4 linked regions of the Astyanax mexicanus genome follow. The protein of the gene in region 3 purifies or fractionates together with the protein of the main gene of each other region. This does not show direct contact. Links are inferred from orthologs where the notes say so. Each region holds a gene or a part of one and is shown on either strand. Other genes may lie near its edges. The genes, in order: ilf2, hnrnpa3, sox2 and myef2.

Region 1 (7,168 bases), on a different chromosome or scaffold from region 3:
AGCTACTATCGTTTCTCTAAACCTCAGAATTCCACAATATACTCGTACACAGACAGATTTTGATTGTGACCGATTTTATCCCCTGATTTTATCCACACAATTTCATTGCTGGGTTGTAGTGTTAAAACTTGGTTACCTGCTCAGATGGTGTTGGAGTGAGATCTTGGTTGCGCTTCAGAAGAGCCTCACTAAATGCAGTCTCATCAGGTGCCGGCTTCACTCGTGGAAAAGCCATCTCACACTGGAAAAGCAAAATTTGGTTTATGAGTACAACTGTCACTACAGTATCTACATGTTAAGCGCCTTAAAAGCATAAAGTAAAAAATTACTTACAACATAAAAGTCAAACGGTATGTGTGGGACAAAAGGGCGGTACCTGAAAGCCAAACAAAAATGTAAATAATGACATAGCAGAACTGAAGCAATGCTTAAAGCACCTTGTCTTTGTTGATGGAATACATGTAAACATCAAATAAAAACTGAAAAAATATCAGCCACGACAGACCACCAAATCAGGGAGGGGTTCCTTTGGAGTTGTCTGCATAAACAGACCTAATTCAATTTTGCAGTTCATTACCCTGTTTAAATAAGTTTGAGTAAAGAAATCACTGTGCTTAATATCAAATCTTCTGAGTTAACCCAAAAGAACCAATATTGACATGTCACACACCCCTTATGAGCATTGTCTGTCATTTTAACTCATACAACCCCTAAGTAACATACACCCCTAACACAGGATCACATGTCAGTTTGTTAATGCATCTGACCTTACTTACAGAATGCAGGAATTTGTGCTTCAGGTCTAATCCAACAATTTTAACAATTAAAATGCTTCACTTAAAGGTTTTAGATAACTAGTTCTGATGACACTGTTTCTAAGACAAAACATTAGAATAGAGGTAATGAAATTGTTGTCATTTGAGTTACATGAGGATTTTAGCTGTAAAATACTTACAGTTGTCTGAACAAAGTAAAAAAGAATGAGAATGAGCTGCGCACTCAATTTATCAGATGTAATTTTAAATTTGATATCAATACTTAGAAGTGGGTCTAGGCTTATGTTTTTAACCAATGGTTCTCAAACTGTGTTAGCCCCAGAGCCTGTACACATTGTGAGATCCATTAATTCAAGACCCAGCTTGGAAACCAAAATTAACACAAAGCAAATCTAACGGTTTTGATCACATTATCTTACCCCTGAACTAGACCTCCACGGGAGCCGAAGCGACCACCACGGCCCCTTCCACGATCGCCTCTGTTGAAAGAAGAAAGAAGCATGTTAGATAACTGGCTAGATTAGTCCAGTAACATAATCTAGGTTAGTGCACACAAACCCACAGCTGATGCTACTGTTCAAGGCATAGCATTAACAATCTATAGTATGAGTTATATTTTTGGGGAGAAAAAAAAAAAAATCACACCACTATATGGGAGATTTTTTTCTTTGAGAACTTTTGCTGATTATTTGAATCCCCACGGCTTTATCATGATGCCGATGCCAAAAGAGGTCTATATAATGTTGAAAAATAACTTGTTTTATTAAGCTAAAAGCAAAAGAACATAAAATGAATTAGTGCTGGGCAGCATACCGGTTCATATGGATAATATTACTGCACACTGAATTTATTCACACTACAGAAAGAAGGAAAATGAGGCTTTAATACTGTAGTTCCTCTAATGGCTTCAATAATAACATTGTAAACTAAAATATTAAAATTGTGTATTGCTTGATGTTATTGAGGTTTTTTAGAAATAGCTCTTGAATACTAAATATTTAGTATTTTAGGTCTGTTTACTGTTTAGTTTTAACTATTTATTTAGTTTTGTAAAGGAAGTTGTAGGCACATCTTTTTCTAAGGTCTATTGTTTACATTCATCTGTTTTTCTACTAATGAAGTCATAGGTTGTGTAATTTTGGGGAACAAAATACACCCAATAGTACAGCCTTAATGTTTGTATTCATAAACATTCATTAAGTCATAAACCTATATAAAAGCCCAGTCATGCAAATAAAATAAAATACAATAAAAAATACAGTAAAGCCGTCAGAATCTTGAAACAAATGTGACATCGATTTTTGGTCATAACGTCCAGCACTTATTAGAATATAAATAGCCAAATATGCTTCTTTACATAATTCTTGCACATCTAAGTAACATTATTTTTATTTATGATCCACTTGCACGCCTCATGATTTAGAACGCAGACATGCCATTTAACATTACATTAAAAATAACAAATACATAATAAATAAGCTATATAAATAAAGGCTATGGTGTAATAAAATATGTTTTGTTGCCTGAGAGCAACATCATGCCATAGAGGGTTAATTAAGCAGCCTGTCCAGGACTAGCTAGCTATCTTTAAGCCAGGCTGAACTAGTACACAGAAAACCATTAAAAAAATGGACCAATTACAAATCTAAGCACACTGAAATGAAACAAATTCATGTGTTTTCCAAGAACACAGACTGGTTATTTTAAATACACAGCTAACCTAGGTCAATATTAGCTACCCATCATCAATTTAATACCAGCTAACTGTTAGCTACACTCGGCTAAACTGGGGTTTCATTCATTCATTCACACACAGCGACGCGACGACGATTAAACACACAAATAGCTGCATTTACCCAGCCTTAAAACACCAACGAATAAACAACTCCTTTAACAAGACATCATACAGTAACACCGAGCAATTCCCCTGACTTCAGGCTAATCACCACGCCAGATATTAAACTAGCGAGCTAGGCTAGTTTAAGCTCATGCTAGCCTGTAGGCTAAAGGCCCTCAAAACGCCGATAAATCATTCTCAATAAATAACGATATTACTGCGCATTTCACCCCAAAAAACACGAATGTCACAAAACAGCGCAGATAGATATCTCACCTCATTGCGTAAGACGTGTTGGCAGCTTTATAAAACAGAGAAAAGATGAAAATGGGTCACCGGCACCCGGAGCCGCCGCTGCTGCTGAGACGAGCTGAGCTGAGCTAAAGCTGAAAGAGCAGCAGGGGAAACGGACAAAGAGCAGAAGTACCCCAAAATAAAAGTCCCTGCATGCTTAACCTACCGCACCCCCTTCTCTGCGGGAAAAAACACCTAAATAAAATACCTCTTACTACCAAATATTATTTATTTCGAATGGACGAATAAATTAATAAAAAATAATAACAGCTACAAAGAATAAAATAAACACAAATAAATAATTCCAATTAATATTAACACGCCAATGACCCATAAACAATTTTAGCACGATAGCTTTCACTGGTACAAAATGAATACATGGTTGTTAAATTGCGTGTGTGCTTTTTATACGTTTTTAATTGCATGCACTTTTCTATTTTATTTCACAATTAAAACACTTTAATTGTTTCTTATATTGAATTAAATTATAAAAAATGACTGACATCAGATTAGATTTGTCCCAGTCTTTATTAAACGTTTTTTAATGTTGTGTTAATATCCCTGCAATGTCACTTGTGTCAATGTTTTCATTTTCAATTTTGGGAATGTCACTTTAAACATTTCCATAATGTTAGTGTTCAACTAGCTGGGAAAGTTACGTTTAATTAACGTTGCAGTGCAAACCATTATGTTGTATGTTTTCAGAACATTCCTGGACCAATATTTCTGTAACATTGCAGAAATTTTACCTTTTCAAAACGTTGCTAAATGTTCTTACAACGTTCTCTGCTAGCTGTGACATCTGTGGATTTAATGTATGTGAATGGTATTATAAAGCTCTGTTTAATGCTTTACTGTCAGTTTTGAGTCATGCAGGTCCACCTGAAAGAGAAAGTGGGGGCTGGAGGTTGGAGGTGTGAGGGTTTAGGAGGGGTTGATAAGATTTAGATCTTAGTCTTAGTCTTCTTGTGGAGGCAGTAAGGGCTTTTGTTTCTCTGCTGTTTGCAGGTTATGTTGACATGTCGGCCTGTACATGTAGGCACATCCAGTGTGCACTTAAGTGGTTTGCAGCTGAGTGTGAACAGAACAAAATGAGAATCAACCCCTTCAAGTCTGAGGTGAGAAAGTGCATGTTCAGTAGAGGTGTGTTCTCTGTAAAGCAGGGGTGTCAGACCTGTCCACAGTGAGCAGGTTGTTCTACCCATCGATACATGCTTCCCAAAGGTACTGCGCATGCGCTGACATACACAATTTAATTATATCTCGTGTTTTTTATTTATAATTAATCTGTTTTAGAGGGACGCACTGTCATTGCACAAAAGTGTAAATGAAAACTAATAATTACAATTATTATAAATAAATACAAAAGCAGTTTGTAATGAGCTTTATTTGCCATACCTTTGCCATGATACAATGATTTATGCTATCCAAATCTAATAACGTACATATACTGGAATTTCACTGGGCCCTAAAATAGTGCTTTTTTGTATTTTTACACTTAAATATACATTAGGGCAGCACGGTTCGACAAAGTAGGACAATTCGACAGAACGGTGGTTCTGTGGTTGCAGGTTTACATTTCAGTCAAACAGATGTTGGAAGACTCATTAAATTAGAGGAATCGGGGCTGCTGCTTGTTGCTCAGAATTAAAACCTACTGTCACATCGGGTCAACATGGAATTAATCTGGCACGGGGTGCCCAAACCTTTAGAATTGTGAGGTGCTCTGAAAGTGTAAGATTATGCAGGATAAACAGCAGATGGCAGCAAACAGCACATTATTGGTCAGTGTTCATCTAAAAAAGACCTCAACTGGTATAAAATATTAGATAAATATCATACCCGTCAAGTTTTAGATTTAAAAATAAGGGATATGTTCCTCTGTCCGCCTAAAGCCGTCCCTCCAGCCCAACGAAGGTTCAGTATCCCTTACATTTTAAGACAGGTTTACAAAAAAATCTAAAATAACCACAAGTGAACCACTTACACACTAAAATTAGATTATCAGAATCTGAAATGTTGTGGACATTTCTACATGTGATTTTTTTAATACAGCCAAATTAAAATCCTTTTCTAGATATTAAAAAAAGTTAAGATTTCATGTCTTTTTTGCCATAAATGCACTCTTTTATATGATATATTTTTTATTTATTTAATAGATTTAAAATTGAACAAAGGGTGCACAAATTCTGCAAAATGACTGTAGGTGACCTAAAAATAGTATTATGAGCTTTTACTAAAAGGACATGGACCACATATATTCCATCAGTAAAATTAGTCCTAAGTGGCCTACACAATTAATACTTTTTAATTAATACTTCTTCTTTTTGATCACTCCACCCCTGATCAGTTCATTTCGGTCCTCTCCACATTTTAGTTAAGCTGAGTCAGCTGTAATTTTTATTTTATTTTAAAAGGTTTAATCTGTGTGTTTTATTTCAGAGACGAGTATTTTTAAGCAGCTATCAGAAAAATCTCCTCACAGTTTACATGATTAGACCTTTCTTAAAGAAAAATCGCTGAAAATCCAGATATGTTTTAACATCAGCAGCTCCGACTAGCTGCCTGAACTCACAGCGACTGAGGGCTTCACCACACTGACTCTCCTTTGCAAACTGATTGGCTGTTTCTCCTGAAAGGCGGGACTTTCTCCTTGAACCGGCTCCACGATTGGTTAAGAGACACAGAGCAGTCAGCTCCCTGTCTCCTTAATAATATATATTTTTTAATCTTAATATAATACGGGAAATTTACGGGAAAATACTAATACGGGAGGACGGCGGGAAAGAGGAGTAAAATACGGTAGTTTCCCGGCCAAAACGGGAGACTTGACAGGTATGAAATATTTCCTCTCAATAGTGTCTGTCACTATTAATTAAATCCAGTGTTTACCCATGAACAGATTTTAGTATGGAGTTCTGCACATTTAAACAAAAAAAAGTCTACAGGAGTCTACAAAAGAAAATGTATATAATGTAATTGTACCACTAGTTATGAAAACAAAGTAACTCCAATAGACCAACAAATGAATACACAGTGAGAAAACGTTTAAAATGTTTTTAGCATTAAACTATGAGTTAGAAGTGGATCGTACTGTGTCTGTGTCTGTATAAGTAATCTGCTCATTAGGGCCTGTAAAATGTATCCCTGGATCGGAATATGTTTATCCTGTATGGACAATTCTTCCATTTTATGTTCCCATTGTATAAATTCATATTAGAAATACAAAGTAATGCTTCAGATAATAGCCATCAAAAAAAATCAAATTTGATTTCATAATGTCCATGAAAGAAAAAAACATCAGTTATTTTCTACTTTAGCTTTTTCCCCTAGGCCTGACTGTATAAAAAGTCATCACAGTATTCACAGTACACTAAAGTGCCTCTTATACTTGCTGTTAAGTATGGGTTGGACAATATATGGATACTGCAATATATTGCAGTATTGGTTAGACTGGATTATATTGGTATGTGAAATCAAATATCTATATATATTTGTTAAAACATATTCACTCTAAACTCTCCCCCAATTTGACTTACTGTTTCATTACTCCACATTAGTTGTCCAATTCTGTGAAACCTTCACCAATAAATTGATAATTCCTGCTATTTGCTTATTTAGGAGTATTTTATCTTCTTCAGTAACACAGATGCTGTGAAGAACCATAGAGAATTGTGTTGTGATATATTAAGTATCACAGAGTCAAAGTAGTTTGATACCATTTTTACCATGGACAGCATGGATTGTGATAATATTGTATCATGAGATGCCCTGTTATCCTGTGATTCCCACCCCTAATTTTGAATAATATTAAATGAAACAAATGCAGCCCACCTCAGTGACAAGAAAAAAGGAAGAAATCTTGAAAGAAAAAACTGAATTACATTTTATAAAATTCTAAAGCAGCAGGGGCAGTGATTTTGCAGCAGTTGGCTGCTGATTCAAAGTATATAGAAGAAACACTGTACATAACTTTATATACTTTTCATAAACTCAGCATTTACCATCTTTTAATTATTCATTTGTTCATTAAAACCTTGATCTTGACATAGCTCCAATAAAAGATAAATTTTATATTTTCAAAAGTTCAGATGGTAAAAATATCTCTGGTTCAAACTGAATAGGTGTCCCTGGGAGAGGGTAAGAATGATCACTTTTGTATGTATGTGCGTGTGTGCGTGCGTGTGTGTGTGTGTGTGTGTGTGTGTGTGTATATGTGTCCCTGAGGGACGGCATACACACGTCTCCCCTACTGTCATCA
Region 2 (7,001 bases), on a different chromosome or scaffold from region 3:
ACCTCCTCCGCCACCCCGATCTAAAAGGGAAATAAACAAAGGAGCTGAAAAGTAATCTAACCTTTTCATGTTTCCTTTTCTGCTGTTTGTTTACACTAAGGCAATAAACAGGAAATTTGACTTTTTTTCCTGAAACGTTTCTCTAAAACAAATCTCTAACAATTCTTAACAGCATTTAACAATTATACTTTAAAATAGGAGTGAGTATGTTTTTCTGGTGTTGTGAATAGTGTATGCAATTAATGAACACTATCCAGCTGCACATTTTGCTAAAAAGATCAATACTACTTTGCATTAGTAGAGACTAAAAAACAAAAAGTAATTCAAACAAGTATTGTGATGTACATTACATTCAATTACACTATATTTTGTTATGTCTTATTATATAAACATAATTGTATGCATTTTGAGACTATCCCTGAACATTATATTATCTTTGCCATATCACACACCCCAACAGAATTATAGAAAGTGCCTCACACACAAATGTACATAAATTATTTGACTATTGATGATTTGTGATATGATGATTATTATGAGGTTGTACTTACACCTCTGGTTAGAAGCTGCTTGCATTTCCTGTTTTGGGAGTGCTTTCCTGACTTCACAGTTATGAGAGTTTATGGTGTGGTATTTCTGGGCTAGAGAGAAACACAAATGGGAATTTTTAGTGCTTGTACTAAAAACAACAGCTACAACAAGGCAGATTTTTCGTGAATATTTTCTTACCAACAATTTTATCCACAGTGTCATGATCATCAAACGTTACAAAACAGAATCCTCTCTTTTTCCCTGTTGGCCGCTCCTCCATAATGTCAATGCTCTCAATCTTCCCATAATGCTCAAAGTATTCTCGTATGTGATACTCTTCTGTGTCTTCTTTTATACCTCCGACAAAAATCTTTTTTACAGTCAGGTGGGCCCCTGGTCTATTCGAGTCCTAAAAACAGTAACAACATCAAGAAAAGGTATTGCAAATTATGTAGGTTTTAAGGCAATTATGTTTGAGTTCTGGAAGCGAAATCAGTGAACTATAGATGACAATCTTTAGTCTTAAGAATAATCCAAAAACTACTAATAATATTGTAGAGAGTAAAAACAGTGCATCAAGATACCTCTCGGGAAACAGCCCTTTTAGGCTCAACGATGCGTCCATCAACTTTATGGGGCCGAGCACCCATTGCTGCATCAACCTCGGAAACACATGAATAAGTTACAAAGCCAAAGCCTCGTGACCGCTTGTTCCCTGGGTCCCGCATTACCTGTGGAAGGAAGTAGTTAGCAATTAAAGCTTACACTGAAAGAAAAAAAAATCTAACAAAATGCCCCAAACAGCACTGCAGTTCTCACTAACCACACAGTCTGTGAGTTTGCCCCATTGCTCAAAGTGAGCACGCAGGCTGTCCTCTGTTGTTTCAAAGCTGAGACCGCCAATAAACAGCTTCCTCAACTGCTCTGGCTCCTTGCTGTCATGACCCTGTTGACAACAAGAAAAAAATATTAAGAAACATTACAATTAGCATTAAAATTCCCAGGTTCCTATGAAATGTAAATGCATCTGTAACTAATGTCCATTAGCTATTACAGCTTAAAAAAAGTAGTTAATCAGCAGTCATAGGCTTGTTAGAAATGTTCTGTTTGTACAGATCCCCTGAAGTACTGTTGCTAGTTATTCTAAATAATACTTAAATAAAACTTAAATAATTTAATTAACAGGCCCTCAATTTAGTAATATGCTGCTTGAATTACATAAACTTGAATTAATAAACATATAACCATTCCCCAAATTTAACAATCCAGTCTGTCAATTAAATTGTATTTACCTTCGTTTTAATAGCTAGCTAAACTGTTCCTTCAACGCTGAATTCTTTCTATTAAAAAAACCTTTTAATTTCCCAATAAAACCCGTCAATTAAATAATAAATAAGTAATACATTTAATAAATTATTTCCTCTAAATAATAATTATCCACTCCCTTATTTCCTTTATAGAAATAGTTAACCCTCCAATTATCCAGAGCATCCCCTGTAAACCATTGGTACAATTTGTTTATAGAGAAAAATAATTTTCTAAGCTGATACACTGGGAGCAGGGGCTTCGTGTCCGAGATGCTACAGGTAAGGGTTTCAGTTGAGCCATTTGACTCCGGTAAATTTTATATGGATGATTTTGAACTGACTGAGAAACGCTACATTTCGACACAAGCCATGTTCTTTACAGGAGAAACCGGTCGCTGAACCTGCTGGCTATCTTATCAGCACTGCCCTCATCCGCGTCTGGAATATTCCAAGCGGGTTCTCCTCAAACGCCATTTTAGAGCTGTTTTCCTCTCTCCACCATATTGTTAGCCTGTGTTTTCGTGACTCTTGTGTCATACTGGAGGAGCAGTCTGGACTTAGACTACCGTTTTCCAGTTACTTCCTCGCCAACATCACAGCTTGACATTCAAGCCGAAATGCAGGAGATTAGCGAGCTAGCCGGACCGGTGTTAGCTGTGGGCACTAACTATGCAGGAGTGAGAGTATTCACTTTCCGTTTCGTGATTTAACCAAAAACCACAAGCAGAAATGTACTATTCGGCTGGTTCAACTTCCCCAGTTTCTGAATTACCACTGAAAAATATTCATGTGCAGAGTTACCTTAGCTACCTAGCTCCCTTTACCTAAATCTGGCGAGAACCACCCAGCTAGCAAGCTAACCTTAGCGTAGCTAGGTAGTAACTAGCTTAGCATAGCTAGCTAGCTGTAAACACGACAGCCAGCCAGCACAGCAGAACCAAGAGCCCAAGCTGCCACCTGTACTTTACTGTACTGCGTCTTTAACCTAAACCTCTTATAATATTTCTAGTTACATGCCATGCAATAAAGCACAGTGATACACAGCTAATAAACGGTTATTACCTCCATGTCGCAGCGTCTGCACCCCTCCTTTTCACACCAGTGCTGCTGCTGCTTTTCGGGGCTGTAACACCAGAGACCACCACCAGGGGATCGAACAGTCAGTCACCCAGCGCAGCTGCTGTCTCTGAAACACTAATAAATATTAGCTGTTTTAGCTTGTTTGTTTGCTCAGCTTTCAGCCTTCTTCAGTTTTTTTAGGTAACTGTTCCTAAAAGCAGAAAAGTATCTAAATTTCATGATGAATCAAGCAGCAGAAATGCTACAAAATTATTTGGGGTTTTTTTCTTGCAAAGGTGCCATTTTGGTGATATGAGGTGTTTTGTCCTTCAGTTAGGTTATTACGTTATATGTTATTTCTCAACTGGTTGTATAATGAATATTGCTTTTATTCTTGAAAGTGTACCAAACAATATTGTGGCGTCTGTGTGTGTGTGTGTGTGTGTGTGTGTGTGTGGCTGCTGTGTGCCTGTCTCTGTGTGCCTGTGTGTGAGTGGATGTCAGGTGTGGGGCCTCCCTTTTAAGTGGGGTTATGCAGAGTGGTGATCTACCATCCGGTAGATTCCTAGTTGGTTTAGTGACCTTAGGGCTGTTTATGCTGTGTGAGCAGTTGGGTTTCGCTCTCCTAGCCTTGTTAAAGGCTATAAGTAAGTGGCAAGCCTGTTAAATAAAGAGCTGTTGAGTACTGTAATGAGTCTAACGAGTCCTCCTTCCTCTTCCATGCCACATTATAATAATGTATATACAACAACATCCTTTATCAGTCCAAAGTCATTGGAGTGTTTTCTTAGAAAATCGTACATCACTTCATGCTTCCCACTGCTGACAACTTTTATGGAGAAGTGGATTTTCATTTTCCAGCAGGACTTGGCACACTGCCCACACTGTCAAAAGTAGAAATTTATCTTATATAATATCTAATCCAATCTTCTGAGACACTGGTTTTTGGGTTTTCTTTGCCTGTAAGCAATTCATATTTTGAACTAAATTACTGAAATAAAATAACTTTTCAATAATATTCATTTTTTTTAGATGCATCAGTACTGTATCCTCAAAGTGAATAAGTAATTTAGAGCGTATGACACTGGGAAATGAGAAAAATAAAGAGACAGACAGAGTAACATCCTGTAACTTATATATATATATATATATATATATATATATATATATATATATATATATATATATATATATATATTAATTTTTTTTTGTTTTAGATTTCAAAAGTACTAAAATTGGCCTTAATACGTTGCTTCATTAAGGCTATTTTATATTTTTAACACAACACTTATTGAACAATAATATTTTATTTAAATTTTAGTGAAATCCACATTTTATAGGCAGCCACATTACCTTATGTAAGTCTTAATTTTTAACCAAAAATTAATTTGTCCTCTGTGTGCGCTACGGCCCAATCTCATTTCACCCCTTTGCCCCACCACTTAGCCCTACCCCTCTGTTTTGCTTGTGCAAATGTCTAGGGGTAGCGTGTCCCGATTTTTTTACGCTGGAAGGGTAGGGGAGTGTTAGGGCTACATGACCCTTCAAACGCACACTCAAAAAAGAGGGCTAGAATCACTGGCAAGATAGCAGCACAAACAACCAAGGAAACCCAGAAATTTAAGTTTTCCTTAGTAGAAATTACAATATCTACTATAATACCATAATTTAATGTGTAGTTTCAATGTTTTGTGTCCATTTTCTCCATAACAAACATAATTTAAGATCCCCATTACAGAGGAATTAAGGAATGGACAATAATGAAGACAATGCCCTGCTAGTTAACTAGCTAGTTAACAAGCAACTAGGGTGCTGAACTTTAGCGCTTCACTGCTAAATATCCCTATCAGTGTTTAAAGGGATATCCCAATTCTTTAGTTAATGTTTTTAGGGGGACAAAGTTACAAGGGGAAGGGTTACACATGAAAACAAGGAGTACAGATAAAAAAAGACATCCTCAACCTGAACTAAACTGGGAAATGAAAAAAAATTAACACTGATGCTATTATTAGCAGTGGAGTACATACCAGCTCTTCCAATCTTGTGACTGGCTGGTTTTAAAGCAGCCAGTCAGGTTTAGGTTATTGTGAGTCAAACAACAGTTAGGAATTCTTTACAGGTTATACTAACCAGTGTAGCATATGGGGCTCACATGGGTGAAATGTGGGCTAGTAGGTGTAGGCTCAGAATGGGTTTGCACACAAATGGGCTTCATTAACAGACACCATCATTACCATTATTACTGCCCACCTCTATCCCTATCTAGATAATTTATGCAGTGTATGAACCAAGATGGGGACCATGTTTTGTCACCTGTCTTACATTAAATAGGGCTGTGCATTGGCAAGAATTTGATACAGGGTTTACGATTTAAAATATTGCAATGTATTGTGATACTGTAAGGCAAGACTATATTTTGTGATGGTTTAAATACATTTTTGGGAAAATTCCTATAGTATAAAATTCATATTAAATCTGAATTACAACTGGATCTGGATCTAGCAAAACGGACTACCCTTAATATTCACATGTAAACTAATAATAAAAACATTTTTGAAAAACGATACAGTATTGAAAAATAAAATACTACAATACTTCGATATATCAATATTTATTTCACCCCAAACACTGACCCTGGTGAAGCCTATCAGTGACATCCACATGAGGGACCAACCCTGTGGACAAAACCTTCTGGTTCTTAGTTTTGCTACTCATACAGGCCCAATATGAGCATGTTATCTGGGAAAAGCCTACACTTGTTGATATAAAAAGGTAATCCTGAATTGACAACTTTTACAGTTTATCATGTTTGTTTCTTGGCCTGTGGTTTCCCAACTGCAAATATGTAGTTTACGTGATCTTTCCAGTTTCCTGTTTTTCTTCAACCTGATTCATTTCATGTATTAGTTATCAAGTTCATCTCAAAAATAGGCAGAACCTGTTCTATTGGTTGATGAGATTTTATTTTATTTAATGTCACCACTATCATATTGTGTTCTTACTGTTTTTTTTTTTTTTTTGGAGCTACAGCGCTTAAGCTGAACTTTGGACTCAGTAACTGGCAATATATCTGGCTTTTTAACTAGCCTTAGTTATAATTCCCACATGACCTAGTTGGACTGAGAGATTTTGCAATAGCTTGTAGATGGGGCTGTTGGATAAATTCATATTATATTGGATTTGTTTCAGTATAATATTAGGATATATTTGTAAACTGTGTGTTAAAGTTAAAATGGGAGTCAAGAACTCAGTAGGCCAACATAATGGAGACAAGCCCTGTGTGTGTCTGTGCTTGTATGCAAGCTATGTTTTACCACAAAAAAAAACAATACTGCACATTGCGTCACTCTGGGTTGATTATTACTCAGATACTCATTCATTCTCACTTAACTATAAAAACACAATAGTGAGTTGTTTGTAAGTTTAAGCCTTCCGTGAGAGAGCTGTGTACAGAGCACTTCCTGAAAGATGCAGGAAAACTGGTTTTCAATCTTGCTGTGATCTTTTTACAAAAACCTGGGAACATAAACCTGATGGCCTTGAGTTCCAGACACGTAGCACCTGGACTGCTGCACTGGAGCCTACAATAGAGTACTGCGCCACCTGCTGGATGCTTACAATCCTCCTTTCCTTTAGACATATGGTGGCCTACAAGCTGTTTACTTGAGACCCCATTCACACTGATCACAGTATTTGAGTGTTTTAGATTTAGTATGTGATATCACTTCCTTAATTAAGACTCTAATTCTACAAGAACTTTTCTCTTTTTTAATTTGATAGCAATGTTAAATGCCCAGTACATAAATAACGCCAAATTCATGACTGGTGAACCAGTAAACTGATGTATTTGTTTATTTCAAAATGCTATTTATTACAAAAATATGAAATAAAAGTCCCACACAAAGTACAAGCCAAACAATTTCAGGTTTTCACTTTTATGTCACTTGAAATTGGGTAAAATCTTTTTTTTTTGTAATACTATTGTAGCCTGCCGTAAGTTTTAGTATGCTGTTATTCATTCATGGTAACATGTAATTTTTGGCAAAATTTAGGTAACATCCAAGCCCACAATACTTTCATACACTCATGCTGAAACTCAGGACT
Region 3 (6,869 bases):
TCAACAAGCAAATAAAACTCTTTAATTTAAATGAAATTATAATTGAACTAAAATTAAACAGGCAAAATAATTAAACTTAAACCTAAGATTTACCTGAGTTGATGTGAACAAATACATTCCATCTTTTCATAAAGATATAAAAGTATCAACCTGACAGATCTGCCCTTACCACTTTTTACAATCGCGAGTAAATTATTGAGATTAAAATGTATTTAATCACGTTCACACATTTATTCAGAGTAATGTACTTTAAATAAATGAAATCTACCTCATGGTGGGTTTTCAGCCTTTTTGGTAGGTTTATCAGCCAGCCCCATTAAAATGCAGATTTACAGGAGAATAAAACCTCCGAAGAGCCGATGAGCCACAGTCCTTCACAACAAAATACAGAAACAGAAAACGGTGTTAAAGCTCGATCTAAAAAGCTCAACACAGACATTAATGTGGATGCAAAGCTGACACTCGCATGCACTCCTCAAACACACACGCACGCAGTTGCTTTACTGCTCTTTAGAAGATATTAGAAGACATTTTCAAATACTTACAGTCAAATGAGCCGCATATTTTTTAAACCGAGAAGATGGTCATGCAGTTTTCGTTTTTTGTTTTGTGCATCACTGACTATTAAAGCATATTAAATCATTTGTGTCCTGAGTGGGAGGTAAGCAAATGAAACCAACAACAAACCTACAAAAGGAAGAAATAAAATCAAAACCCAAAACAATTTCAAATATCCAAATTTCAAAAATTTATTCATTTCAAACTGCATATTGAAAAAAAACTCTCTTACTGAAATTGTAACTGTTATGGTGCTATTAGTTCAAATATATATATATATACATGGAGTGTTGGCATCTGCGTACAGGCCACATTTTTAAAAATACAACTACGGAAAAAAAGAGTTAAATTTTTTTTAAAATAAAAACTTAAAATATCACAGTAAATATACAGAAAATTTACAAGCCATGAGAAAATAAAGAACACAAACTTCATATCTCTAACAGATGGAGGGTTGGGGACTAAACAAAACAAAACAAAATAATATATAAATTTACGTGCGAGTGTTTTTGTATTTCATCTTTTTTTCTTTTAGAACTAAATTAAAAAATGTTGTACTGTCTTTCACCCTCAAGGAGAAACATTTCCTGCTTTATATTTTTTTCCAGCGGTTTGCAGAGACTGGAGCATTAAGCATTGTGAGTTCTGCATGATTTAGATTTTATAAAAAAAAATCACTTTTTGTAGTTTACAAACATTACAACTGATTGTTATATGTTTTTGATAAATACTGTACAAAACGTTGATTGCAATAATAAAACATCATTTGATTGATTCTCCCCACCCTCCTCCCTTTTGTATGTTTCAAAAAAGAAAAAAGAAAACACACTTAAAAAATAAAATAATTTTTGTACGGTTCCTACCGTTTCTTCTAGCGCATGACTTGCTTTCTTTCAAACGAAAGCAAAGAAAAAATGTTTGTGTTCTTTCCTCGAGTCCTGTACAAGTTTTCCCTCACCAAAAAGAAAAGTTCTGTACAAAAATAATAATAATAATTATAATAATAATAATAATAATAATAACAGTAGTAGTCCAGTCCCAGTGTTTTCGCGTTTGTGTAAAACGGGTCCAAGTGTCCATCTACATGTGCGTTAAGGGCAGCGTGCCGTTGATGGTCGTCCCGTGCACAGGTGCGCCCTGGTAGTGCTGGGACAGGTGCAGTCTGCTTTGGCCCGTTTGATCCTGCACGTCCGCACCGGGCAGGTACATGCTGATCATGTCCCTCAGATCACCCGTCTGGCACGGCTGGGCAGCGGCGGAGCGCGAGTGCGAGCTAGATGTGACTACGGCCGGTGGGCTCGCGCTGGACTCGGACTTCACCCCGGAGCTCATGGAGCCGTGCAGTGTCATGGGGGGTCCGCTCTGCTGCTGGGAGTACGCCATGCTGCTGTACGTGGGCGAGCCGTTCATGTACGTCTGCGCGGTGGTCATGGAGCCGTACTGCAGCGCGCTCATGTCGTACCGGTGCACTGGTGCCGTGGCCGAGGTCTGCATGGGCGCGTTGAGGCCGGCGTGCTGCGCGTACCCGAGCTGGTCCTGCATCATGCCGTAGCCGCCGTTGCTCCAGCCGTTCATGTGCGCGTAGCCGTCCATTCTCTGGTTCATGCCGGCCCCAACGCCGGAGCCAACTCCAACGCCGACCCCAACACCGACGCCCACCCCGCCGCCACCCGGTGCGAGGAGTCCACCAGGAAGCGCGTACTTGTCCTTCTTCATCAACGTCTTGGTTTTCCTCCGCGGTCTGTACTTGTAATCCGGGTGTTCCTTCATGTGCAGTGCGCGGAGCCTCTTGGCCTCGTCGATGAAGGGTCTCTTTTCGGACTCGGACAGCAGCTTCCACTCGGCCCCCAGCCTCTTGCTTATCTCCGAGTTGTGCATCTTGGGGTTCTCTTGGGCCATCTTCCTGCGCTGGCCCCTGGACCACACCATGAAGGCGTTCATGGGTCTCTTGACCCTCTCTGGGCTGCTTTTCTGATTGTTGCCCCCAGGGTTGTTGCTATTCCCCGTGCCCCCAGTGCTCGGCTGAGGGGCCGGGGGCTTCAGCTCGGTTTCCATCATGCTATACATCTAGAAATCGTTGTCAAAAACCTTCTCCACTCGACCAAGAACAAAAAGCACCAGCAGAAGAAGTAGTAGAACTTCTGGCAAGTGAAAAAATACAAAAATAAATAAAAATAAAAATAAAAAAAAAACTAAACAAAAATAAAAACAAACCAAGTCCAAGCGCTCTCTGCGGCAGCCCCCCTTCAGCCCGTGCTGGGGTAAGTTTTTCTGCAGTTCTCCACTTCGTCTATTTCCCCCTCACTCCTGTTTTGCCCACAAACTTCTCAAGTCTTCAAAAGAATCAACAAAATTGAGCTTTTTTTTGCCCCCTTTTCCACGCCGGAGCCTTGACAACTCCAGATACTTTTGGTACAAGTTAATAGACAACCGTTCACGTGGAAGGACTGTCAGCCAATATAAATGGTTTCTCACCTGACCAATCGCAGCGCGGGGTTTGGTGGGTTAATTAGCATAAAGGGGCGGGGCATTGGGAGGCTAGAGTGGGTTTCCCAGCTGAGTTTGAACAGAAATCTCTCTCTCACTCTCTCTCTCTCTCTCTCTCTCTCACTCTCACACACACACACACACACACGCTGCAGATATATGAAACAAGTTTAATTTGAACGTGATAATGTGCAGTGTTTAGCCCTAATGTTAGTAACTTAAGTGAAAGCTGTGGAAGTCAGAGAAATATATATATATATTTCCTTCGGGATAAAGAAAGTATAATATATATTATATGATATATGGGTTTTAATATATGTTATTTGAGTTTTCACCATCTAACTGATCTCCCTGCCTCGAGACACTGCTGCTGTTTATTATTAATTTCAAATTCTCCTCATTATTTCTAATGTCCAGTAATTTTTAAGTTAAAGTAAATCAGAACGCCAATATTGATTTGGTTGATACACCGTTTAAAACCTCAAAAAGTATCACTATGTACTGACCCACAGTGAAAGAAGATTTTACTATACAGTTTTATTCTCGTGCATAGTGCAACCAATGGACGAACAACTGCAGCTTTATATTTACTCTGATAGATTGTGCACACAACAGTTTGAGATAATTTCAGCACCTCCTGTGTTTGATTTAAACTTGTTGTAAGTTATAAGCCCTCTAGTCCAGTTCAGTGCCAGTCCCAGTTATAAATAAACTGGTGAGAGAATGAAACTCTCTGCAGAGGAAAGTGGAGCCGATCTGGCTTACAAACAAGGCTTATTGTAGAGACAAACACGTGCAATCAGATCACTTTTAATTCACAAAAAGCACGAGCCGACGAGGCCCTCACTGTGTTTCAACAGCGCCCTCTTCCGGCCGGTTTGACTAACGCCTCTAATAGTGCCCCAAGCTTCACTGCAGTCTAAAGAGTAGCAGTGTGGTGATCTGGACTAAAATGTTGAGTATAAACTAAATTACTCTGTCTGGAAGAAAGTGTGCTTTGTGGCCAATCAGCCAGGATTTAATTTTTCAGGTCTGAATTTTTTTCCCCCTCATTTCCATTATTAACTAACTTTTGGATTTTGCACAGAGATGCTGGGGTTTAAAAACATTTTGGGTAAAAGTTTTAAAATGTTAAAATTTGGATTAGAATTTTATTTCGAATTATATTGGTTTTATAATGTATAATATTAAATTTGGGCTAAAATAATTAAGTTTGGACTATAATGCTGTAATTTGGATTTAAATTTTAGTGGTTAGACTACAATTTGGGAGTTGGATAGTGGCGGTTGGGGCAAGATGCTGGGATTTAGACAAAAATATTTAAATAAAAATGTTGGAGTTTAAATTAAAATATCTTGCATTAAAATCTTGTAGACTAAACTGTTGGTGAATGTGGTAAAAGGTTTAAGTTTAGGGTAAAATGTTGTGGCCATTATTTTAGCTCAAGACTAACTCATAAGGAAGAAGTGAAATGTTTATAACGTTTATAAACCCAACTGTTTTTACAAGGTCAGAGTATATTGGTATAAATTGAGTATAATGGTGTATAAGTGGTAAGATGCGTATGTGTGTGGCTGAGGTGTAGTGGACACCCCTCTCTCCCTCTCTCTATTGGGGCCTTAATCTGCTTATGGAAATGCAGTGAACAGCAGGAAATCAGAAATCACCATCATCTGTATTTGTCTGTGTGTGTGTGTGTGAGAGAGAGAGAGAGAGTCCTCCTTAACTGCACTTTTCTTAATTGACACAATTACAATACAGCAAATGTTCACACACACACACACACTTCTATGAGACTGAGAGCAGACAAATATTTTCATAAAGAAAGAGCTCATCCAGTGCTTAATAATATCTCACACACAACCAGAAAGCACATAAAAGACTGCTGTACAAAACAAGCCTAACCACATCAATACAGAAGAAACTCTATAATTAAATATATACATTAATAAAATCAAAAATATTAAATATTAATATTAAACTTAAAAAATGTATTTTTAACACTATGAAACAGACTAAGCTAAAACACTCAAACCCTATTTCAGCTAAGCACACTGACATCCACAACTCTCCATTATCTCTCTAATTATTCCTCAATTTTATAACATAAGTCAAAAAATAAATATTAAAAGTAGATTTACATTTCTGCATAATTTTGGAGATAATTCTTTTTAGCGATGTATAACAAAAAATCATTATATTGTCTGTGTGTGTGTGTGAGTCCGTTCGCATTGGGCATGGTTTGTCCACTAGGGGGCGCAGATGAACAGCAGCTTGTGTAGAAACTGACTAGTTTTGGGGGGGGGAAATAATTAATATTTCTATTTATATTTTCTCATAAACGTAACACTTTTTAAACAAGATATGAGCACACACACAATTGGCCAAATTGACAACAACAAAAACTAAATCAATATATATATATATATATATATATATATATATATATATATATATATATATATATATATATATATATATATATATATATATATTTTATTTATAAAAGCCCATTCACGTGATATTAAGTTTAAAAACTTTTACTGTAAAAAAAAAAAGGCGCTCGTAAAAAACGCGTTGATGACGTTCGCATCGCAGGCAAATGCACATGCACGTAATTGCGTCAACAGTTGTTCTTAAATGAGAGCAGCGCATGTTTAATATTTAGGCATTAAAAACAATTATTTCAGAATGAATTCCCTTAAGTTTAACGTGTGTGTAAACTATATATATATATATATATATATATATATATATATATATATATATATATATATATATATATATATATATATATATATATATATATATTAGTGTAAAATATAGTGTAAACGCCCTTTAGGCATTTAACACATCTAATCAGCACTTTCCACCCTCAACCAAACACACACGTTTCTCACTGTGCTGATACACACTCACCTCACTGGCTGCTATTTCTCCTTACTGCCTGGCAAATGCCCATATCCACAGTGCATCTGTCCCAGAGGTGCCAAAACTTTTACCAAAAAAGGAAAAAAAAAATCCCTCAATTGCTGCATCCAAAGCTTCAGATCTCCAGTTTAGCCAGTCCACACACACTGCCTCATACGCACAATACACACCTCATATTCACAGTTCATAACCACCTCGTACACTTCATAGTCCATGTAAACCACATAAATCTCACTCCTTGCACGACGTGCACTCCTAGCTCCCTAGCACACTCCACACACTCCTCGCTCGCCTTCGCTCCTCTTTGCTCGCCGGACCTGGAACAAGAAAACGCCGTTTTATGGCTACACACAGGGCTGATTTGAAAGAGGAAGAATGCATCAAGAACAACAAAAGTCAAATTATACCACCACCCCCAGCACCGAGCATAATGAGGAGGAAAAAGCTTTGTATTTTTTTTATTTTTTTTTCCCTCTCGCCGGGTATTCAAAGATAATTTGAAGCCATTGTTTCTTCCACAGATGGTTCTTTTTTTAATACAATAACGCTGCTCTTTGTGTGCACTACCCACAATAAAAATCTAAAGCCTTCTCCTGAATAACCCATTTTGTTCGCTCTTGTAAAGGGCCAACAAAAGCGGCCGGGAGCTAATGGGCTCGCTTTATTCAAAGCCAAAGAATGGCTATTTGATAAAGAATTTTTTTTCTCCTCCCTTTGCTGAGAATGCATTGCCATGTCATACAAAGCTACCGTACAGTTAATTTCACCAAAAAAACAACAAATGCCACATTATTATCATTATTATAACTATTATAATTTTGCAGCTAAAATTCCAAGACTAATCTTCTGTTGCTGAGTCAATTATTTAATCCTCAGAAAAGTGTGAATAAGCA
Region 4 (7,810 bases), on a different chromosome or scaffold from region 3:
AGCAATTACAGTTTTCAAGCACAGTACTGTTTTAAGGTGAACATCCACCTTTACCAACCTTCTAATAAGCATTGTATAAACCAAATTCCAATATTTCAGGCAAAATATAATCAATTTACAATCATCTTTATCTCCTTACAACAGATTCTACAGTAAAAATATCTAAAAATCACTGAGGTTACATGTTGGAGCTATTTACAAATACAAAGGCCAAAAATCTTTATCATCTGGGAAAGATAAGACCAAATCTGTAGTTTAACTCCTCCCAAGAGGAAAAAAAAGAAGCCCTGTCCATGTTAGCATCTTTCAACGTCAGCTCATCTGCCTGATTTTCATCATACAATAAGAAAAAGCCGCTTGCGATGCTGACAGAGGGAACTGGAGGGTATGTGTGTGCCATAAGCTCTGCAACCTTTACCTTTATCTCGCATTAGATCTTTAATTGCCTGCCACTTCATATCATAAGGGATATTGCTAATAAACACGCGGTTTCTTTGAGAGGCCTTCTTGTTTTCAGATCCCCCGTGCCGGTCCTTATACGGGTGGTAGCGACCGGACTTCCGGCCGCCTCCAGACTTCTCTTTATCTTTGCCATCCGATTTCTCTGTGGAGGCATCCTCAGCGTCGTCACTGTGTAAGAAAAGAAAGAAGGCATGCATCAGTGCAGTTGTAGACCTTAGCATTTCATGCAGTTTATTCTGAACCTAAAATAATGTGTAATATTAATTTAGTCAATTGAGGTTCATTATAAAACAAATCCAAACTGCATGCATCATACAAACAGGAAGTGGGTCTTAACAGGCTCCAGGACAGTAAATATTGAATACAAATAACTGCGAGTGTTTTTGACAGTATTTTTTTTAACTGACACTACTACTGCGTCTTGTATCAAAAGCATGGTTATGCATTCAACCACTCCTAGTTTGAAGACAACACATACACTGAATACCATTAAAAGACAGTCCTAAAATGTAATCACTGGTGCCTGTTTTAATTTTATTTGATTAATTTTGAAAGGTAAACAATTAATAAATGATAAAACTTCATCAGTACCTAAATAAAAACATGACTGACCATTTAGTTTGGGAGATATGAAAACATGCACCAGTGTCATGTGAGGCACATTTATTATTTTTTTTTTCATTACTATGATTTAAGGTGTGCTTTTATGAGCATATTTTGGGCATCGGTACTTAAGGAACACTGACTACCTGCAAGTATATTTTAAAGAAGTGTAATCAGTCCTCTTAAATTCGATGGTACTGCAACATATTTTGAGCTACAAAAAGTTTTTATTATTATTATTATTAAAACAATCACAATTAAAATTGTAAACTTCTTTAGTTAAATGTTTGCTAAATTTATCATTCTACCCAACTATAGGATAACCCAGAGGGAGTTAGTCCTTAAATCAACGTTTTACAAATGTGTGTGAACCAAACATACACAGAGGCAATATACAAAACGCCTAATTCTAATACATATATGTGGTTATTTAACATTTAACATAACAGCTAGACATGTTAAATTGTATTATTTGCTTCTACAGGTCTGTTACAACAAGGGGCGAGGGATTTGGCACTTGTTTTGGTGGAATTAGCCTAATTTTTATTTTCAAGATTAAGTAAACCTCTAGTTTATATTATTTACTGCGAAATGAGAACAGGATGGATTTTCTTCTTGCTACAAACAAAAAATATATATATAAACTTGTCAGGGTATTTTTGCAATAACGATATTAACAAATACTGCCAGTATTTTAGCATGCGATACAACATGGCACATCCATAGCTCCAATCATTTGTGTTCCATAGAACCAGTTCTGATCTGACTTCAAGAATTTTTAAAAATAAAATAAGGAAATTATTTTTGCTCCATTTATGTTGCATCATGATTTTGACCTTAAAATATTTACAGTCACGTGCCCACAAAAAAAAAAAAAACATTAATAAGCTGCTGACTGAATTTATCTGATTTTATATTGAAATCGTTATCAATATTCAGAACACGGTCTGGGTTCTTATGACTTAATACTTCTAACAATAAGCTAGAGAGCAAGAGTAGCTAACCTAGCTTAAGTATCTAATAGATTGCATAAGAACACACGCATACATTTAGATACACATCTGTATAAAGCAATAGTTACCCAGCTTATAGTCTATATGCTTACTGTAGATAAAAGGTATAGCCAATCTAATTAACTTAGCTAGTTAACTGACGTAAAGTACAATAAATACAGGATTAAATTAACCTATCCTGCGTGAGCTAAGCTAACTTTAGCTTTGGCTGTTTAACAATGGCCCACTTAGCTATCTACCTTAGCTAACTACAGCTAGGTGTCTAGTTAGCAACAGAGCTTACACAAGGGACTACGTACTACCTATATAAGCCTGGCTAATAGTTAATTGCTTAAATCTACAACTAACTAATAAATAAAAAACACTGCGGTGACCGTTATTTAAATTAGGTTAGCTGTTAGTTAGCTTAGCACAGCTACCCGCTAACCCTGTTAACGCTAAATGGATAATGGTGGCTAAAGCCTCTTAGCACCTAAGCTAACACAGAGACACAACTATCAAACTAGGGCGAATCATTCTGCACTAATACTAGAAAAAAATCACCTTAAATTGTGAATAATCTGTAATTAGTCTAAACCAGAGCGATATAACATATATATTCAGGAAGAAACGCTAGGTTAGGTATCTGTATATTAAGCCGTTTCAGTGTAGGCGCGCTCCGGTTAGCCGGTTAGCATTAGCCGCCGGCTGAAGGCCGCTTGTTAGCATTAAGGCTAATCCGACTCCACAAAGAAAAAAAGCCGCAGCTCCTCACGCTTTCACGCCGTTTGTGTTCTCGGGCGGCGCGTCTCCGTCCTCCTCCATGTTTAGAGAAGCGTCGTAAGAATCCTCCTGTTTCATTTCGCTATCGAACTCGAGATTACTGTCGGCCATGGTCTCTCTCTGCGCTTCAAACACTGCGGCGCGTCTCCTTCACTGCCCGCTGATATCGCGAGACTTCCAGCACGACTCCCAATATTTCCAAAGAGGGGCGTTTCCCTTCCCGCACGCGCACGCGCACACACACACACGCGCACGCGGAGAGGCAGCTCTGAGTTATTTAAACATCCCGCTGGAAACAGTTTGGTTTTATTAATTCATAACTTTAAAATAGAAAATGCCTTTTTTGTCACTTAGTGTCTCAAAATAACGATTTAGTACTCTAAACTAACAATTTAGTATTCTAAACTAACGATTTAGTGTCTCAAAATAACGATTTAGTATTCCAAACTAACGATTTAGTATTCCAAATTAATGATTTAGTATTTCAAACTAACAATTTAGTATTCCTAACTAACGATTTAGTATTCCAAATTAATGATTTAGTATTTCAAACTAACAATTTAGTATTCCTAACTAACGATTTAGTATTCCAAATTAATGATTTAGTATTTCAAACTAACAATTTAGTATACCAAACTATTTAGAGTCTCAAACTAATGATTTAGTATTCCAAACTAACAACTTAGTATTCCAAACGATTTAGTGTCTCAAACAACGATTTAGTATTCCAAATTAATGATTTAGTATTCCAAACTAACAATTTAGTATTCCCAAAAATTTAGTGTCTTAAACAACGATTTAGTATTCCAAATTAATGATTTAGTATTTCAAAATAACAATTTAGTATTTCAAAATAACAATTTAGTATTTCAAATTGATTATTTAGTATTACGACTTATTATCTCAAAATAACAATTTTGTATTCCACAATAACGATTTAGTATCTCAATATAACAATTTAGTATTTCAAAATAACTTAGTACCTAAAAATAACGACTTTGTGTCTAAAATTAACAACTTAGTGTCTCAAAATAACAATTTAGTATCTCAAAATAACGACTTAGTGTCTGAAATTAACAACTTAGTGTCCCGATATAACGATTTAGTATCTCAAAATAACGACTTAGTCTCTTAATATAATGACTTAGTGTCTCAAAATAACAAATTAGTATCTCAAAATAACGATTTAGTGTCTCAAAATAACAAATTAGTCTCTCAAAATAATGACTTAGTGTCACAATATAATGACAGTATCTCAAAATAATGTGAAACTGTGAAACATGGTTGTGGCATGGTTTTTTTCAGCACTGATGAGGAGGATGTTCAGAGTTATTTGGAAATGGGTGGAGCTAAATACAAGGCAATCAAGTCAAAATCCAGACGTAAATCCTGTATCGAATCTGTAGCAAGACATGAAAATTGCTGTTCACAGAGATTCTATTCAATCTGACGGAGAATGTTTAGCCTGTAGATGAGCAAAGCAGATAGACACATGCCCCAAAAACTTGAGCTGTAGCAAAAGGTGGCCTCAGAATAATACCTCAAAAGTGGTACCTCAAAATAATACCTTAGTATCTCAAAATAAGTTATTATTTAATAATATTATTAGCTGTAATTGCAGCAAAAGGTGGCTTTTTTCTTTTCTCTTTATAATTCCTTTTTTTTTACATTGTTTTGTTTTATTACATATACATTTTATTTCTACAGTTTTTGTGTATAACATAAGGAAATGTGGCAAACTTGAAGGGATATGAATATTTTTTCAAGGGACTGTCTTTCTGTAAAGGCTAGGGAGGTTACCATAGACCCAAAAATTATATTTCCCACATGACGTGGAGGCAGCTTTAGGCTGTATTTACAAAGAATGAAACAGATTTAATATTAACATTTGGCAAAATGTAACACACATTACACCGCAAGTAGTTCCAACGCTGCAATGTGATTGGCTGAAAGGCGTTCTGAGAGTGCCGTTATCAGCCGGTAATGCATGGTAATGTTCTTGCTATAACGTGTAATATTGGCACTGCTGTGCTGATTTATGGTAATTGGCCTGCAGCCTCGTGTCTATGACTGCAGCACAGCAGTGCCAATATTACATGTTATAGCATGAACTTCGAGTGTGTTACTGCTTAAATATACAATATACACACCCCAGCCTTGTGCATGTCTACAATTTTGAATCTGATGTCCTTTCGTTGGTGTTTTCCATTATAACTCCACTGAAAAAACACTGAATTTAAGGTAAGTCACAACTTTTGACTTGTACAGTATATAGTTGGCAATACATCATACATAAAGCATCCTACATAAACTTCTGTATTCTATAAAGGTAGAGTTGTCATGATATAAACCCTTGAGAGACGTTTTGCACGTCATTGCTGTTTATTGGACAGTGATGTTAGACCACTTACGATCACTCATTATGTGGGAGTTTATCCTCCTGTTAATGCAGAAGGGGATTCAGAGGTCTAATGAACTAATGATCCATTACCCAGAGGAGACGGAGAGGTCAGACCCAACATAAATTACAGTAGAATGATTGTAAAAAAAAAAAAAGAAAGAAAGAAAGTCTGGCGGCACTTTGATGATTAAATAATAATAATGTTGTCTCAGCATGGCAGAGACAGGCCGAACATCAGCCTGTGAGTGTGTGTGTGTGTGTATGTGTCTGTTCGTCTCTGTCAATAAGCCCACTATTACAGCACTCCAAGCCGTCCATAATGCTGTGCCGGGAAACGGGCCAGCATGAACGCTTTTCAATTCATCAAGAAAGGCATTGCAGTTTGTGTGTGTGTGTGTGTGTGTGTGTGTGTGTGTGTGTGTGTGTGTGTGTGTAAAAAAGGATTAACCTCGACCGATCAGCTGATTTCTGTCACACACTCAAACACACTCGCATTCACTGAGCTGGACAACGGACAAAAGTTTAGGAACACCTGCTCATTCATTCTTTCTTCTGAAATCAAGGGGTTTAGAACAAAATGCAGAATAAATATTATATAGAGATTTTCAGCTGGAATTCATGCATTTCTATTTTTTTAAATAATAAAAAAATATATAATAATAATAATAATAATAATAATAATAATAATAATAATAATAATATTCACTTTTTCTGTGCAAGTTCTCAGTGCCTCGTTTTAAATGTCAGAGCCCTTAGAATTCTACCAATAAAGTGTGGAAAAATAGTGATTTCTTTGCATGGACAAATCTATGCCCCTATCACTTAGATTGTAAGCCTGTTAAGAGCATTAGCTAAAAGTTCTGTAATTCAGAACGCTGGAGGTTAACAAAGGTGAGATTTCAACAAAAGTTTGTACTTGTTATCATTTCATCTTGATAACAATGAGATCAAATGGAAAGACAAAGGGGATTTTAGCATAAACTTCCTGTTGCTCAAATGTATCTCTTGCGTTTAAAATTAAAACTCAGTAATATCACGTAGTATAAATCTCAGTAAAGTCTCATATTGTGCTCAGATTCGACACAATATCGACACAATAATAAGACAGAAGGACATAAAAGACAGATGGAGTCTCAATATGAGCTCAACTGTTTCTTATCCAAAGAATTAGAGGCTTAGTTTTAATGCTGTGTGCTACATATTGCATTCTAATGTATTTGCTACTGTTTTACTTCTAATGGATGTGGTTTACAATATACACAAAAATGGATTTTTTAAGGTGAATAAATGAAGAGGTGTGATTTTACAGAGCGAGATGCTCAGAGCAGTTTAGATCTGCCCATTCAGTCAGCAGTATTATTTCTCCTCCCATTCAGCCTAATGTAATTTAGCCCTGTCCATTCAGTGTAACACAGTTCATGGTGCTTTCAAGTACCGTCAGACAGTAAGAGCCTCACAGGAGAAATTCATTCCCCTGACTTGGTCATCCTTATTCGGTTAATTTAGGTTTACAAAAAAAAAATAGATAACACTTTATAATAACTTTCAATAATATACCATTAACTAATCACATTTGATGTAATATCACATTTGCAAATACTATGCAATTGATGAACATTTGTACGGTTCAAAATTTGTATTTACTGGCAATTTATTAATGTTGAAATTCTGATCAGCTAATGATTTGCTAACATTTTTAATATGAATATCCATGCTTTTGTTTTGTTAATATTCAAATTCTGATGAACTACTGCTTTGTTCACATCTACTGAACATTAGTTCAAAATATATTAATGAAAGTTATTATAAAGTGTTACCAAAAAAAAAAAAAAAAAAAAAAAAAATATATATATATATATATATTATTTGCTATCTTACTGTTAATAAACTGTTTGGCCATAGTATTGTAACAAAACAGAGGTGGCAAGTAACAAAGTCCAAATACTTCATGAGCTTACTTACTGGAGTAACGGCTTTTTCCTTCTACTTCTTACATTTTCACACAATTATCTGAATAATAATTTGAATAAAAACAGCCTCGTTACTCCTGTTTCATTTCAGCTCGTTTTCATTCCGGCTTCTCATCCTTCAATAAAACCCCCATCCTGATAAATCTCTCCATCCAGACAGAGTGAATCTGATTGTGATTGGATGTAGAGAAGTATAAACATATACCATTCCGACTCCCTATTGGTTTATACTGTAATTTATCACACCTGCACACGTACCCCCCCCCCCCCCACACACACACACACACTGCAGCAAGAACATAGCAGATGTATGTAGTCTAGTATGAAGATGATCCGTGCAGAGACTCAAGAGAACTCCAGATAAACTCCAGTCCAACTAAACTTCTTTAATATATTTACTTTATTCTACTAAAATACATTCATTTACAATCAGCATATATGCAGCTGAAACAGGGAACAGCCTAGTGCATCCCACATTATATTACTATTGTTAGGTTGTGTTGCACTATAGGACTCTGTGGTGTGGCCTCAGCTTTTGATCTTAATGGCATTATTTTTTTCCCCTTACATTACCTTTCCTTTTATACTTTAAGTAGTTT

The links.
Region 1: the proteins of sox2 (region 3) and ilf2 purify together in Homo sapiens (affinity purification with mass spectrometry; 3 studies listed by BioGRID and IntAct, with this or other methods). This does not show direct contact. The link is inferred for Astyanax mexicanus from reciprocal best matches to the Homo sapiens genes SOX2 and ILF2.
Region 2: the proteins of sox2 (region 3) and hnrnpa3 purify together in Homo sapiens (affinity purification with mass spectrometry; 3 studies listed by BioGRID and IntAct, with this or other methods). This does not show direct contact. The link is inferred for Astyanax mexicanus from reciprocal best matches to the Homo sapiens genes SOX2 and HNRNPA3.
Region 4: the proteins of sox2 (region 3) and myef2 purify together in Homo sapiens (affinity purification with mass spectrometry; 3 studies listed by BioGRID and IntAct, with this or other methods). This does not show direct contact. The link is inferred for Astyanax mexicanus from reciprocal best matches to the Homo sapiens genes SOX2 and MYEF2.

Annotation. Positions count from the first base shown.
Region 1 is NC_064410.1:45,267,145-45,274,312, reverse strand, and holds the start of ilf2 (interleukin enhancer-binding factor 2 homolog), read right to left. Parts: upstream 3,010-7,168; 5' UTR 2,895-3,009; coding exon 2,890-2,894; intron 1,256-2,889; coding exon 1,196-1,255; intron 377-1,195; coding exon 334-376; intron 242-333; coding exon 137-241; intron 1-136. UniProt on the Homo sapiens protein: Chromatin-interacting protein that forms a stable heterodimer with interleukin enhancer-binding factor 3/ILF3 and plays a role in several biological processes including transcription, innate immunity or cell growth.
Region 2 is NC_064418.1:32,177,915-32,184,915, reverse strand, and holds the start of hnrnpa3 (heterogeneous nuclear ribonucleoprotein A3), read right to left. Parts: upstream 3,009-7,001; 5' UTR 2,907-3,008; coding exon 2,901-2,906; intron 1,478-2,900; coding exon 1,355-1,477; intron 1,263-1,354; coding exon 1,116-1,262; intron 941-1,115; coding exon 730-940; intron 642-729; coding exon 552-641; intron 21-551; coding exon 1-20. UniProt on the Homo sapiens protein: Plays a role in cytoplasmic trafficking of RNA. Binds to the cis-acting response element, A2RE. May be involved in pre-mRNA splicing.
Region 3 is NC_064423.1:26,444,732-26,451,600, forward strand, and holds the start of sox2 (transcription factor Sox-2), read right to left. Parts: upstream 3,018-6,869; 5' UTR 2,626-3,017; coding exon 1,639-2,625; 3' UTR 546-1,638; intron 373-545; 3' UTR 269-372; intron 1-268. UniProt on the Homo sapiens protein: Transcription factor that forms a trimeric complex with OCT4 on DNA and controls the expression of a number of genes involved in embryonic development such as YES1, FGF4, UTF1 and ZFP206. Binds to the proximal enhancer region of NANOG.
Region 4 is NC_064416.1:43,705,973-43,713,782, forward strand, and holds the start of myef2 (myelin expression factor 2), read right to left. Parts: upstream 3,020-7,810; 5' UTR 2,952-3,019; coding exon 2,833-2,951; intron 631-2,832; coding exon 419-630; intron 1-418. UniProt on the Homo sapiens protein: Transcriptional repressor of the myelin basic protein gene (MBP). Binds to the proximal MB1 element 5'-TTGTCC-3' of the MBP promoter. Its binding to MB1 and function are inhibited by PURA.